2 linked regions of the Notamacropus eugenii genome follow. The protein of the gene in region 1 purifies or fractionates together with the protein of each later gene. This does not show direct contact. Links are inferred from orthologs where the notes say so. Each region holds a gene or a part of one and is shown on either strand. Other genes may lie near its edges.

What was found.
Region 2: the proteins of UBR5 (region 1) and ATMIN purify together in Homo sapiens (affinity purification with western blotting; 3 studies listed by BioGRID). This does not show direct contact. The link is inferred for Notamacropus eugenii from reciprocal best matches to the Homo sapiens genes UBR5 and ATMIN.

What each region holds. Positions count from the first base shown.
Region 1 is NC_092875.1:148,573,506-148,581,013, reverse strand, and holds the start of UBR5 (E3 ubiquitin-protein ligase UBR5), read right to left. Parts: upstream 3,006-7,508; 5' UTR 2,653-3,005; coding exon 2,591-2,652; intron 1-2,590. UniProt on the Homo sapiens protein: E3 ubiquitin-protein ligase involved in different protein quality control pathways in the cytoplasm and nucleus. Mainly acts as a ubiquitin chain elongator that extends pre-ubiquitinated substrates.
Region 2 is NC_092872.1:542,052,174-542,060,150, reverse strand, and holds the start of ATMIN (ATM interactor), read right to left. Parts: upstream 3,018-7,977; 5' UTR 2,949-3,017; coding exon 2,586-2,948; intron 1-2,585. UniProt on the Homo sapiens protein: Transcription factor. Plays a crucial role in cell survival and RAD51 foci formation in response to methylating DNA damage. Involved in regulating the activity of ATM in the absence of DNA damage. May play a role in stabilizing ATM.

The DNA of each region.
Region 1 (7,508 bases):
ATGACAGGTCTTTTCTACAACTATCACTAAGTGAACCCTAATAAAAATTTCTCTTAAGCCATCAAAACAAAGTATTTTCAATTAAAGCTTCCTTTTAATTCAAAAGAATTCACAAGACAGAAGTTTTTTATACTTGAAGTGTTAGATTTTAACAAGCAATGCCACAATATATTTGTTTCCATAACTTGCCAGAGATAGTGAAATGTGTCTCTTTCAAAAGAGGTTCTCTATACATGTCCATGAAAGTTAAATACTTCGAAATCGCACTATGTATATGACTCCAGTACCAAATGTTGACAACTGAAAAGAAAATATCCACAGGAAGACATTTCCATAACTATTATCTATGACTTTAAAAAATGCTACTTACAGCACTGTATGTGTTTAACATCTGCGAAGACTGTAGGTAATGTAAAAATAACACACAAATATTCTAAGCTTTAAATACTTTCCTTTTTAATCACTCCATTCTTTTATGTGAGATGTTATTTTCTATACTAAGCATTATATTCAACAACAATTTTTAAGTTGATTACTTGGGCATACTAATAGTGATAATGATCTTAACAAAATAAGGTACATACTTATACATTTTTCACATACATAAAAAGAAACAAAAACTTTTAAATTAAAGACCTTGCTCCTATAAAAACACTGAGAAGCTGATTTGAAGTTTTTCTATGAAAAACAGCAGTCAAAATTCTTGGAACATACAAATTAAGATATATATGAGAAAACATTCATTTCTCTACTTCCCCTTGGGTTTGGCTTTATATATAAAAGACATATTAAAAATACAGAAGACTTGGAGGATAATCTTACAGCTGTCAAGTGGCTTGATTTTACAGAAACTATCTAAATATATCAAGCGCCTTTGACTCTTTAAAAGCATCCAGGTAAAATGACATTTAAAATATAGACTACTGAAAGAAATGAATTCAAAATAAGCAACTTGGAAAAGTTCTGAGAACCCCATGCAGCTAACTCATTTCCTACCATAATCTTAAAAAAAAAACAATAACATGGCTTCAGCAAAATTGGACATTTCTTGAAACATCTTTGCCCTCTAACTGAAGAACTGCTGCTGGCCACATTGGAAGTGCTTACATACGTACACACACAGAGAAACGAAGGCCAATCTCTTAGCAGCAAGTTAGGCAGGCCTCTTCCTCTCTCCGGGAAGCGCATGACAAACAGGGCGTCATGCGAATTGTGTCACCGGGTCACCGGCAAAAATTACACGTAACTCCCCAACTTCAGTCCGAGATGGCCTTCCAAGGCCCGCACAAGTATATTTAGGATCTAGCATACTAACAGGGGAAAGCTTAAAGTGACCTACTTTCTGATCCTGTAAACACTGAGCCCAGGGTTGGACCTAAGACAGGATTTAATGGAGGCCTCTTCTCAACCTTTTCCGAGCCTCTGTTGCAACAGTGAAGGAACTTTTCCTGGGTTTTCTAGGTTCAAAGTGAACGTGCAGCCCTGCAATTCTGTATCTTATGTACTAGGCCACGGAGAGCAAGAACAGCGGTAAGCAACACATTCCAATTTTGAAAAACAAAACAATATGTAACTAACCCCACAAACCCCGTGGCCAACCCTTCTCCGGGATTAAGAAGAGTTTTTACTAAGTAGACCAAGGTATATTTTCTTCTGCCAAATTACCAAGGGGAAACCCCTCCCCCTACGATGTTGGGGAGAGACCAAAAAAGAGAGAGAAAAAGCGAACATCAAAAGGCTGGCCTGAGACGGTGATAATGGGCCTGCCTACCCATTTCGGGATGTGCTACCACTTCCATCTCTTGGCTTGGATTCGACCCCCTCCCTGGATCGGCATGCCTCACCACAGCGGGGGCTCAAATTAAATAATCATAATATGGCGTTTCCTCCAGTTCAAACTCCCCCCACTAGCATCCCCCCCCCCGAAACTGCGAATGGGCTACTCCCCTTTCCCGTAGTGGGCCAAAGCCTATACTCCCTGGCTTCTGAAAGCAATCTGGCCCGGGGATGCAGGCCACCCAGAGATCCAGGGCACGCTTCATCCAGCCCCTCCACCCCCCACCGCCACCCCCGAGGCCCGGACTCCTCGGTCACCTTCCCTCCCTTTTCACCTCCACCATCCCCCATCCGCATTGTCTGTCTCAATTCAACTTTGACTAATATGGATTCCTCGGGCCTGGGCCCGGCAGTCATTACAGGCTACTCCTCCTAGGGAAAAGGGCTGCTTGGCTCGTTCCCCTCTCTCCTGTTCCACACGATTCCCAAGGAGGGGGCTGGAATAAGACCCTCGGTTCCCTCTCCTCTCCCCTCCCCCTCCCCCAGTCCTCTCCTCTTCTTCCCTGTAACAGAAGTTTACCCTGGATAAGGCCTATATCCGAGAGGCAGGAAGAGGAGGAGGAAGAGAGAGTGAGACACCTAGAATCTCCCCTCTTCACGTTCCCCCCCCAAAAAAAACACACCCCACCAGCCCACCCCCCAGCACCCTCGGGCCCCGTGGCGTCGCACTGCCCCACCTCCCACAAAGAGGAGATGGGAGGTCTAGGAGGATGGGAAGGGTAACTTGGGGGTTCCCCCTCCCCGTCCCCCTTACCTGTCATTGAGCTGGTCCTCGGTGCCCGGCAGCGGGTGAACGACGAAATGGATGGACGTCATGGTGCTTCCTCCTCGTCCTCCTCCCTAGGACACCCCACCTCCCTCGCGCTAACCCGTCCCCCCTCCCCCCAAAAACAACCCCTCTTCTCGTCCTCCTCCTCCCAGCCCCCCAAAGGAGGGAACCAAATGCGCAGGGGCCGTCTCCTCCTCCCCCTCCTCGGGCTTCTCTTCCTCCTCTTCCTCGTCCTCGTCCTCCGGCTCCCCCCCCACTCCGGGCCGTGTGTGCGGGGCCGGCCGGCCCGGCTGGCGGGCGGACGGGAGAGAAGGCAGACGAGCCACCCGCCAGCAGCTCCCCCCGCGCCGAGGGGGGGGAGGAGGAGGAGGAAGACTAGGAGGAGGGACGGGGAGGAGAGAGGCGGAGGGAGGAGGAGGGAAGAGGATGAAAAACCGGGGAGGGGGCGAGGTGGGGGTGCGGGAGGAGGAGGCGGGAGGACGAGGACGAGGACGAGATCGGGGCCGCGGCTGGGCTGGAGGGCGGGCGTCGGGAGCCGGGAGGGCTTGAGGAGGTAGCCCAGAGTCGTGCTGGGAGGGACTAGGCCACCGGGACGCTGGGGGCTGGAGGGGGGCGGCGGACGGGAGGGTCGGGCGTTGGGGGGAAGGTGGGGAGGGAAATGAGTCCGCACCGCGCTCACAGGCGAGACGCCGCTACCGCCACCAACACCGCCGCCGCCATCTTCACTTCTGCCCCAGTTTCTCCCTCTCGCAGGCTCCGCTTCCGAGGGGGGGTGAGGGGGGAGGAGAGAGGAGGCGGGGGGAGGGGGCAGAGAGGGAGGGGAGAGAGAAAGAGGACGGGGGCAATTCACGTTACGGCTCTGCTGATTGGTCGGCGCAGCTTTGGAAGGGCAGGAAGCTGTAAGAACCAGGGGGATTGGTCTGGGTATCTCTCCGCCCTCCCTAGCCCTCCCGTGTTCGGGACGGTAGGGAGCGAGCATTTTGGCCGGAGCACGTGTTGTAGGGAGGAGGGAGGAGAAGAGAAGAGCCCAGACTGGCCTGGGTAAGAGTACGAGAGGGAGTGCAAAAGGGTATCCCCGGGTGGTAAGCGCAGAGGAGGGGCCTGTTAAAGTGCTTTCTCCTTGATTTCCCTAGAGCAACCCTAATTATTTTAAGAACTGTGGGGCTTTTATCTCCTTTTCTTGATCTGCTGTTTTATTTAAAATGAATGTATGCAAACAGTTAAAGGAGGAAAAACTGTTATAATATTAAGCAAGATAGAGAAGGTTGGGGACCTAAAGATCATAGGAACTAGAATTAGAGAAATATATATACATATATTTATGTCCAATTTAATCTAATTTCACAAATGAGGAATCTGGGGCCCAGAGAGATGAAGTCAGCCATGACTGGAACTCAAGTTTCCTAGGTCCAAGCTTATTCCACTATACCCTTGCCCTTCTGCCTTTTTCATTTTACAGCCTAATCCCCTCCCCAAACGAAGACTTTATAAAGAATTTTATGCTGTGCCTACCCTTTGACCCAGCAGTACCACTACTAGGTCTATATCCCAAAGAGAGAAAAGAGAAAGGACCTATATGTACAAAAATATTTCAAGCAGCTTTTTCTGGTGACAAAGAATAAAGAATTGGACTGTTGAGGGGATGCCAATAAGTTGGGGAATGGCTGAACAAATTGTTTCATGATTGTAATGGAGTGCAATTGTGCTGTAAGACATCAGGAAGGGGGTGATTTCAGAGAAAGGTGACAAGATTTATGTGAACGGATGCAAAGTGAAGTGAGAACAGAGATTATTGTTCACAGTAACAATCGTAATGATGATCAACTATGAAAGACTTGACTTCTCTGATGAAGACAATGACCTAAGACAATTCTAAAGGATTCATAAAGAAAAAATGCTGTCCACCTCCAGAAAGAGAACTGATGAACTCCAGTGCAAATTGTAGTATATTTTCCTCACTTTATTTTTCTTGCAATTTTTTCAATATGGAAATGTTTTGCATGATTTCACATGTATAACTGATATCATATTGCTTGCCTTCTTAGTAGGTAGAGAAGGGGAGGGAGGGAGAGAATTTGGAACTCAAAATTTGGAAATAAAAGAATGATAAAAATAATAAATTTTTCAAATTTTTTTTAAAAAATAAAAAATGAGGTCAGTGTTCCTCCACTTACACTGGACATGGTTGGGGACCCTTGTCCTAGTTAATTCCTGGTTAAGGCTCTAGTGCTATCCAATCACTTTATTATTAAGAGCTCACTATATTAGGAATTTCATAAATGGTAGTTGATTGATTGATTTCCAGGTACTGGGCTAGGCACTGGGGGAGTAGAATACAAATTGAAACAATTCCTACTGTCAAAGAACTTACATTGGGGATGTTCCCTGCTCTATTATCTTCTACTGTAAGAGCTCTTCATCCTTCTGAGACTTCATCCAGTGGAGTATTGGCAAGGATTCCTTCCATGGATGGCAGGCATGGCTGAACCTCTGGTAATCCTTTTTCATACTAAAATAAATGTTCTAATTTTCAAAGGATTGATGAAGAGTTTTGAATTACACACTGAGCAGAAAAAAAAATTAATGGAGAAATGTTAGAATCATTGAAGTCTTTGCACAGCAAATAAAGAATGAATGATTCATAAAAAATTTATGAATTGGAAATTATTTAAACAGAACTAACAAATTTTCACACTGAAAATGATATTATAATGGGATAAAGAGGTAGGTCAAGTTAGGTCCCAAACCTCAAAAGTGGAAGTATTAGAAAACATGAATCCTGAGCTCTAATGAGATACTTTAAATGTGCATCTTAAACCATTAACTTAGGTTGCTTTATAAGACTTTATTGTATTTCTATTGAAAAAATTTTCAGCAAATCATGGATATCAAAAATTATTCAATAAGGTAGGATAGTCTAAATACCACATGGGACTAGTAGACCCTTTCATAGGTCACCACTTCTAACACTGACCCAGATGACTTAAGGTTCAAAAAGTATTTCAGACAGCTGTTCTGTAAAAGCCCATGTGAACTCAGTCTAGGATGCTGATCTATTTCCATAACACAGAAAGTGGTATGCAACTAGTTCTAAATTTTACCCCTTGTTGGCACTCTCAATAGAAAAACTAAAAATTTCCTAAGCCTTAAGGATTCAACTAGTGAGGCAGTTTGGCAGCCTCATATGTCCAGTCAGATCAACAAGCATTTATTACACCATATATTATTTTGTGCCAGGCACTGTGCTAAGTGCTAGGGATATAAATAAAGGCAGAAAAAAAGAAACAATAAAAAAAAAGTCACTGACCCTTTAGAAACTCATAATCTAATGGGGGAAAACAGTATACAGAGAACTTATGTTCAAACAAGCTATATACACAATAAATTTGAAGTAATTTCAGCAGGAAGATACTAACATTAAGGACTGGGAAAATCTTGCAGAAGGTGAGATTTTATTTAACACTTGAAGGAGGCCAAAAAGTGGAAGTGAAAAGAGAGAGCATTCTAGGCATAGGGCACAGTCAGTGAAAATACACAATCAAGAGATGGAGTGTCCCGTGTAAGGGGAAGCTAGAAGACCAGAATCATCAGACTTTAGAATCTATAGAGGGGAGTAAAGTATAAGAAGACTGAAAAGATAGGAAGAAACCAAGTTGTAAAGGGCTTTACAAACCAAAGAGAGCATTTCATATTCTATCAATAAGAAGCCACTGAAATTTACTGAATTGTGGTTAGACATAGGTTTTAAGATCACCTTGATAACTGAGTGAAGGAAGGACTGGGGTGAGAGAGACCAACCAGCAGGCTATTGAAATAGTCCAGTCATGAAAAATATAAAAAGAGGAAGGGAAAAGAGGTAGCTCTTAATGAATTGCCTCAGTTTCTTTAGTGAATTCTGAAGCAAGGTTCTAAACTGAGACGGTGAAGATAGGAGAGGTATAGGAAGGTTGAAAAAAGTCACTTTGGTGAGTAGGATCATGAATTTATTAAGGAGATGTAAAAAGATTTCCCTGCAGAAGCAGGAGACCAGTTGATATTATGTTATGATAGTATGTAACATGGACTTGTAATAGACGAAATTAGCATGGTTTTATGATTCTCTCCAACTTCATTCTACAGGTAATGAACAGAAACAGCAGTAGACTCTAGGAGTAATCAAAAGCTGGGCAGGGTGATACCATAACAGGGCAAGGGCTTTGAAAGAAGAGGACATTGTAGAGTCCACCTGGTTCGTGAAGGGGTCAAGAATGGGAAAGGAAGTTGGGTGAAGCCAGTACAGGGTCCACACTAGCCTCGGAGTCAAGAAGACCTGGATTTAAATCCTGCTTCTGACACATACATACTGGCTATGTGATCCCAGGCATGTCATGGTTACATGGTTAGTGGCCTTCATTAATAAGGAGAGTTTTCTCACTAGCAGTTTCTGACAGATGAAATTACAAGTCTGGATAAAAAAAAAGGAAATGGGTATAATATTGAGTTTGGGAAATAACTTACAAACCTGTTTGTCCTGAAATACAATGTATGAAGAAAAGAGTTGTTTGAATGAGACTGTAAAGCACCTTAGATTCTAGTATTTTATCTTCAAGGCAGTGGGAAGCCAGTGAAAGTTTCTGAACAGGGGAGCAAGACCTGTTTATTGGCACGATTACTTTAGCTCTATATTCAGGATGAAGCTCTATATGCAGAGAAAGGAGACTGGAGGCATAGGAAACAGAATCCTGTTCTGTCCAGAGGAGAGGTCCAGATCTAGGGTAGGATGCTAAATTACTGGAGAATGCATTCTCCTGGAATATAAGCATCTTGAGGAAAGGGAATTTTAAATTTTGGTGTCTCAGAACCTGATTCAATATTTTCGCACATAGTAGGTACTTAATAAGGTTTGTTGAATTGTAGTATCTCC
Region 2 (7,977 bases), on another chromosome or scaffold:
TATAAACAGAATTTAGGCACATATTTAGTAGATAAATACTTCTTGACTGATCAAAAGGAACTTCCTTTACCTACACCCACCTAGGAAACAGACTGAGAGTAGGTGGTTCCTGCTTTCCACTGAAAGATCATCTAACTCAGAAAAGAAGGTTGGATAAATTACATGGGCTTTCCTGCAGACAAAATGGGCCTGAAAAGTCAAATTTGAAATGGAATTAAAAGATAGCTACTTTAAAAGCAGCCTTCCAAACTCCAGGATAGATTATTATGAGATCCAAGTTGAAATGACACACAAAAATTCTATTTTCTCCAAAAGTATCCTTTTCCCTCTCAGATTCATTAAATTTACTGGACTGCTAATGAGTGGCCTCTTGCAATTTCCTTTATTTCATGTTCATTTTTTTGAAATGAAATTTTTGAAAAATGGGCAAATATACCTGTATTCTTGAACTAGCTTTGAAAAATAGTTCTTATATACTAACTGTTTAGCTCAAATCTTTAGAGGCACATCTATCATTACAACAATGGCACAGCCTAGCATAATGGAAAGAATACTGTACTTAAAACTCAGAAAACCTAAAGTCAAGAGTAATGGAGCAAATGTAATTTATTTACTAACTGTGTGATCTTAAGCAGATCATTTCCCTTCTGTTAAAAATAAATATTGGAGTTTAATGCTTGTACTAGCTACCTCCCAGGGGTGTTATGAAGAAAGTTTTGTAAACCTTAAAATACCATAAAATTATGAGTATTACTGTAATCCCACAGACAGGGGTTAAATGCAAGTTATTAAAAGATACATCTTGGTAGTGATATGCCAACTAATATCCAGGAGGATCCAGGGTCTAATACTCCCCCTTCATCTCCAAGTCCCATGGTCCTCTTACTCCCAATAGAACTGGGGACTCCTGCCACAGGGTGCCCTAAGCTATGCTGCTGTGCTCACAGCCCTGTTCTTCACTTCTCCATTTTAATCTCTAGTTCCCCTTTGAATACAGTCTTCCCCATTAGAATGTAAGCTCCTGGAAGCCAGGCACTGTCTAATTTGCTTGTTTTTATCTTCCCAGCACTGTGCCAGACTTGGAGAAGTCAGTGCTTAATATGTGCATTTTCATTCATTCACATGGCCTGGAACATAAAAAGTCTTAATGAATATTTGTTGCAATCCTTTGAAAACTGCAGCACAAAGATGGGCTGGAATAATCCATAGAATCAAAGGACCAGAATCCTTGGCTACGGGAGACAAAGCCACTTGAGATAATTAATGGAAGTCAGTTAAAGAAAACAGGACTACTACAGCTTTTACACCCATTCTAAATCCTCTCGTTTCTTTCTCTCTTTAAATTTAAGTCTAAAAACCCTCTAATTTCTCATCTTTGGACTCACCACCATTTTCTGAACCTAGTAAGGGAGTTCTACCACGTTCTCATTAGGATTCCGAAACCATCTATCTATCCAGCCCCCTACCTTTCCAGTTTTCTTACCCCTTACCTCCCCCACCCCCACCCGCCAGTGCTCTGCAATACGGCGACAATGGCATCCTAGCCGGTCCTGGCACGAGATGCTCCATGTCGACTGGGCATGTTCCACAGCTGTCCTCCCCGCCTGGAAGCCTCTTCCCTCCTCATCTCAGCTCCTGGTTTCCCCAAAGCCCCAGCTAAAATTCCCCCTTCTGCACGCCGCTTTTCTGGATGCCTCTCACCGTCAGTACCTTCCCTCCACTGATTCTCTCCAGTTTATCTGGCGCGTACCTCGTCTGTCCCTGGCTGTTTTCAACGATTTCAACAAAGGTTTCTCCCTTATTAAATGGAGCTCCTGGGGAGCAGGACCTTTTTCGCCCTAGAGTTCCCAGTCTGGCACACTGCCTGGCTCAGGAAAGGCCCTTAACAAGTCCTGGACCACGGTCCTCCACCGGCAGGTCCCTCGCTGCTATGTTGACAAGCAGTCTGCCCCCCCCCCCCCCCCCCAAAAGGGGACGAAGCCCAGGTTCCACTGGCTTTGTGTAGACCGGCCTCTCCTCGCCGCCAGCCCACTACACCGATCCAACAATAGCTTTCTCCCGGCGGACTGGTCCGCAGACCACACTCCCCGCCAGCCCCCGGTCCGGGTCAAGGATGCAGGGAGTCAGGCCTGGCTGGGCGCAACCCAGGGAAGCGCCGCCTCCTCCCTAAAGCTCTGTCGGCCGCCACCGAGGTAACAGCCGCCCCCCGCGCCCCCTCGGAGGGCACTTTGCTTACACCTCTGTAGTGCTGGGCAGCACCGTCACCGTGACTGCGGGCGCTCCGAGCCTCACCTGTGGCTGCTGACTTCACCGGGCACTCTCTGGGGTAGGGCAGAGTGGGGGAGGGAGGGGCCCCGGGGTCCCATCAGGGCTGGGGCTGCCGGAGAGCACAGGGCTCAGGACACGGTACACAGTAGGAGCTTAACTATGTTGGCCGAGAGGGCAAAGCTTTTCTGGGGGGGGGGCATGCCGAGCCGGCGCTGGCTCCTCGTGGCACCGACCCTCGCCCCTTCCCAGGTAGGGGCGTGAGTGCGTGCCTCCGGTGAGGGCAGGCCGGCGGGGGTCGGGGGCGGACGGGGCCTCACCTGCAGGCGATGGCTCTTCACCAGGTGCATGTTGAGCGCGGGCCCGTTGGGCAGGATCTTACCGCAGCCGCGCACCGTGCACAGGATGTTGGTGCGCACGGCCCGGGACAGCTCCGACACCGACGGCCGGATCAGCTCGCCCGCAGGAGCCGGGCTCGGGGTCGCGGTGGGGGGCTGCCGCTTTCCTCCCGCCGTCCTAGCCCGGCTTCCTCGCAGCCCCGCTTCGAAACCCCATCGGCCCGAGGTCGCGTAGGTGGTGGCATCTCCTCTACTGGCCCGGATCGCGGCCGGCTCCGAAGCCGAAGCCAGTAGCGGGGCTGGGGTCAAACCCGCGGACGGTGCCGCTGCGTCCGCAGCCGCCATGTTTACCTTCGCGGCAAGCCAGCCCTGCTGGGGCCGCCTCGCTCCCCGGCTACTTCCGAGAAGGGCGGGAGCCCGCTGCCTCAGCCAACCAACGAGGGCTTCTGGAATACGTCACCGTCCAACGTTGCCGCCCCCACCACGGAGCCCCTTCGGGAAGGCGGGGCGGAGGGCGGGGCCTGCGCTCTCCAGGAGGCGGGACTCCGCTCCAGCTGTTCTCACGTTGGTCTATCTTCCTTCCAGTTCCAGGCACCCCCTAGAAAAGATCTCTTCTCCTTCCGAGGTCATCACCTTTTCCTAAATGAGGAACGATGTTACCTCTGTATCACTCGCTCCTAAGAGGCAGTGAAGTTCACTGGCTTTACATGTAACTCCAATTTATATAAATTATATTTTAATATGTATGTGGCATGCCACGGAGCACGGTCAGGAGGCCTGGGATAAATTCTAGCGCCAGCACTGGCCAGCTACATGTTATTGTGACCAAGCTCACTGCCCTAAGCCTTAATTTCTGATTCTGCAAAATGGGGAAACCAGAAGGGCAGAATGGGTTCATGTACGCAAGAACCAACCAGGAGCAAAGTGCCCATGTGGTGGTTGAAAAAATTGTGCTATAGGGATGGAATGTAATTACATTCTTATTCTGCAGTAAAAATGGATGTGAAAAACTTAGACCAGTGTTGTCTTTGGAGGACTGAGGGTCAAACATGTCTCTCATCTCTCAACAGAAAAGTGGTGGATTTTAAGTGCAGAATGAGAATACAGCCAATGTATTGATTTGTTTTGCTTAACTAAATTTATGCTTTACAAGGGAAGGTTGGGGTGGAGGAGGAAGCAGTGACATCAAAAAAGTGACAAAACACTTTTTAAAAATAAGAGAGGCAATAATACTTATTCAATCTCTCTTAGGATTGTGAAGAAAACACCTCAGAGTGCTACAGAAATCACACATCATGGATTTAGAAGGAACCTTAGTGGCCAGCTGGTCAAACACCTTAATTTTACGGATGAACTGAGGCTCAGAGAGGGTAAGCTCCTTGTGCCCAAGGTCACAGAAGTAGGAAGTGGCAGAGACAGGATTTGAATCCAAATCCAAGCATTTTTTCCACCATGCCATGCAAGCTACTACACCAGGGGTGGGGAACCTATGGCCTCGAGGCTACATGTGGCCTTCTTGTGTTCATCCTTCGTTGCCGAAGAACACTGTACCATCAGAGAAATGATGACATGGCTTGCACTTGCCTTTGTTTTGAGTGAGGGAGGTTTGTGCAGGTCACCAGCCTCACTTCTCCTCCAGAACCATCTGAATTCAGTGACCAGATATTCATCAGGATGACTGGAGATGACCCAAGGTGCACTGGAAGACCTTGGCCAAGGGCTATACAGGTACTCACTTAGGGTGAGGTAACACCCATTCATTGAATAGGCCTGTTTAAGAAGTAGGCCCTTTAATGAGGCAAAGAAAAAGAAAGACATCAGGCTGGGAGGGAAACAGCAACGGTTACTAGTGATAATCATTAAGCCAGGAGGGTCCAGAAGAGTCCTTAGGCAGGGGCCCAGTTGTGTCTGAGCTTCTGAGTGCAGTAGATTTAAGGTTTTGGGAAAGGAGAGGGAAGGGAAGGGGAAGAGGAAGTTTGTGGCCTTTTAGGTCCTCAAGTGCAGCTCTTTGACTGAGTCTAAGTTTTATAGAACAAATCACTTTTTAAGGGGATTTGTTCTGTGAAGTTTAGATTCAAAGGGCCACACCTGAGGACCTAGAGGGCCACATGTGGCCTCAAGGCCGCAGGTTCCCCACTCTTACACTATGCTATTAGTACTTTTTCCCTTTTATCCCATCCTGTGCACAACAACCTGACATTTTGGTTTAAAATACATTAAAATTAGTTTGCCTGAAGCATCAGCTTGTTACATGGGCCATGACACCATTAGGGCAATAACAAAAACATATTCCCCATTAGGGGAATATGGCTATGGCATTATGATTGTGCACTCATAACATGTACCGCTAAGATACATGATGATAAGCTCACCCTTTTTACTAATGCAACCAAAGACCCACTGGAGAAGATTTTGAATTAATGCTCTTCCCGCTCCAATCTTTATATTTTTATTTTTTTCAGCCAAAGAAAAGCAATTTTTTTTATAGTAGGATTTTGATTTTAATTTTTTTCTTAATGGATATATTTTTATTTTTTAAATTTTTAAAAAAAAATTAATTTGTCCTCAGTTTTCAACAATCACTTCCATAAGTTTTAAATTTTCTCCTCCTCCCTGCTTGTTCCCCGAGATGGCATGCAATTTTATATGGGTTCTACACATACATTCTTTTAAATACATTTTCACATTAGTCATGTTGCATGGAATTAAAATGAATGAGAGAAACCATGAGAAAAAAACAAAACAAAACTGCTGCATTCTGATTCCGTAGTTCTTTCTCTGGATATGGATGGCATTTTGCTTCAAGAATCTTTTGGGAATGTTTTAGGTCCTTGCATTGCTGTGGAGGGCTAAGTCTGTCAGAAACAGTCTTCACATACTGTGGCTGTTACCGTGTATAATGTTCTGGTTCTGCTCATTTCACTCAGCATCAGTTCATGTAAGTCTTTTCAAGTTTTTCTGAAGTCCTACTTTTCATCATTTCTTATAGCACAATAGTATTCCATTACATTCATATACCACAACTTGTTCAGCCATTCCCCAATTGATAGACATTCCCTGGATTTCCAGTTCCTCTCCAGTCTTTTTAAAGTCCCCATATCTGCATTGTCCACCTACAACTCTTTATATGACTTTAATTTGAAAGCAATACTTAGGGGTTTCTCCTTATAAAGGACATCTTTGCATCCAGAGACATAAAATGAATGCTTAAGATCTTTTAAAATATAATTTTACTCTTCTATAACTTGAAAATTTTTATTTAAATAGTCAAAACTGAGAAGCAGGATGGCACAATCGATAAAGGGCATGCCTTGGTGTCAGGAAGACTTAGAATCATGGGTTAAGAGCTGGAAGAAACCTCAATAGCCATCTTGGGTAAATAACTTATCCAAGGTCATACAAATAATAAGCATCAGAAGGTAGGATTTGGACTCAGGTCCTCTGACTCCAGAGCCAGTGCTTTTCCAGTTGAATCACTAAGTCCTACTTTTGACATATTTGCTACATGATCATGGTAAATTACTTAACCTTTGAGTGTTTCCAGGCAGCTAAGGCTATAAATTACAGATTAGATGTACATGTGTGGAGAGACCTCCTACATTGATAAAACCATGCTAAAACCCAAAACAATCTTAGCAGAGACTACTAAATTGTAGTGTAAGATACAGTCATCCTTACTTATAAACATGCCCAAATGTCCTCTCCCATTTCTAAAAATCCATCACTTCATCTACTATTACCTCAAATTATCATCCTTTCCTTCTCTCTGCTTTTACCCCCAAACTCCCAGAAAAAGCTGTCTATACTTGTTGTCACCATTTTCTTACTTCACAATCATTTTTCAACTTCTTGCAGTCTGGCTTCTAACCTTAGCACTCAGCTAAAATTGCTTTCTCCAAGGCTATCAAGTGTATTGATTGTCAAATCCTTGGCCTTTTTCTCAGTTCTTATCTTTGACTTCTCTGCAGTAACTGATACCATTGGCCACTATGTCATCCTAAACTTGGTCTTCTACTAGTTAGCCTGTCTGGCCACTCCTTCATGCATACACTAATGTTTATGCTTACAGGTATATTCTCCAGGACTCTGTCCCAGGTCTTGTCTCTTGCTACACCAACTTTCTTGGTTATCTCGTTAACTTCTATGAGTTCAACCATAATGTTTATGGATAAGACCCCTAGTACTATATATCCAGCCGCAATTTGTTACGAACTGCATTACCAACTGCTGTTCAGTATTTTTAACTGTCTCTCCATAGTCATATCTAAAAATAAGGGGGATTCATAAAAATTTCCCATACTAAGTACCACACAGGCTGAGCCATGTCTTTAAAAAAATTAGAGATTGTAAAAAGTGGAGATGAAGATGAGGTACATATCAGGTTTATGGGGACAGATGACTTGTGCAAAGATACTGGGGTAGAGGGATGGAATACTGGGAATAGCAGTAAGGTCAGTTTGAGTGGAATATAGTAAGAAGCTTAGAGACATAGGTTGGAGGCAGATTGTGAAGGCCTTTCAATGTCATGCTGCAAAGTCTGTATTTCATCCTAGTGGTAAGAGGGAAGCCACTGAAAGTTTCTGAGCTGGAGAATGCTAGGGTCAGACATTTATTTTCAAATTATTTTGATAGTAGTGTGAAGGATAGATTGGGTAGGATGATCAGAAGACAGTCCCAATAATTCAAACAAGAGGTGATGAGGGCCTAAAGCAGGTCTGCACAACCTATGGCCCTTGGGCTGCTTATGGCACACCAAAGGATTTCAGGCAGCCCATGAAAAATGTAGAGGAAATCCTTTGGCAAGCCACAAATGGCCTGCACATGGGCTGCAGGTTGTGTATGCCTGGCTTAAACTAAAGTGGAATTCATGTTAGCAGAAAGATGAGCAGAGATATAAGAGATGTTATGAAATTACAATTAACAAGATTTGGCAACTGATTGGATAGTGATGAAAGGGTAGGGAAGGGAAAGGAATAAGCATTTTTAGAGTACCTCCTCTTGGCCAGGCACTGTCCTAAGGGCTTTCAAAAAAATATTCTTTCATTTGATCCTCACAACAAGGTGAAGGAGGGGGAAGAGTTGCAGATGATGATAAGGTTTTGAACGTGGATAACTGGAAGCGTGGTGGTGCCATGAAGAGCAAGTTTGGAGGCAGGAGGGGAAGAAAATGAGTTTTGTTTTGGACAACTTTTGTATCGTTTATGCTTAAGGGAGATATCCAATAATGTGGAACTCAGTGGAAATTAAAGCTGGACCAATAAACAAGAGTTCATTTGCATCACAGCGACGATCAATAAACACATAAGAGCTAAAGAGACGATCAAGACGGAGGGTATATAAAAAGAAGAGAATCCAGGTCAGAGTGTTTGATCAT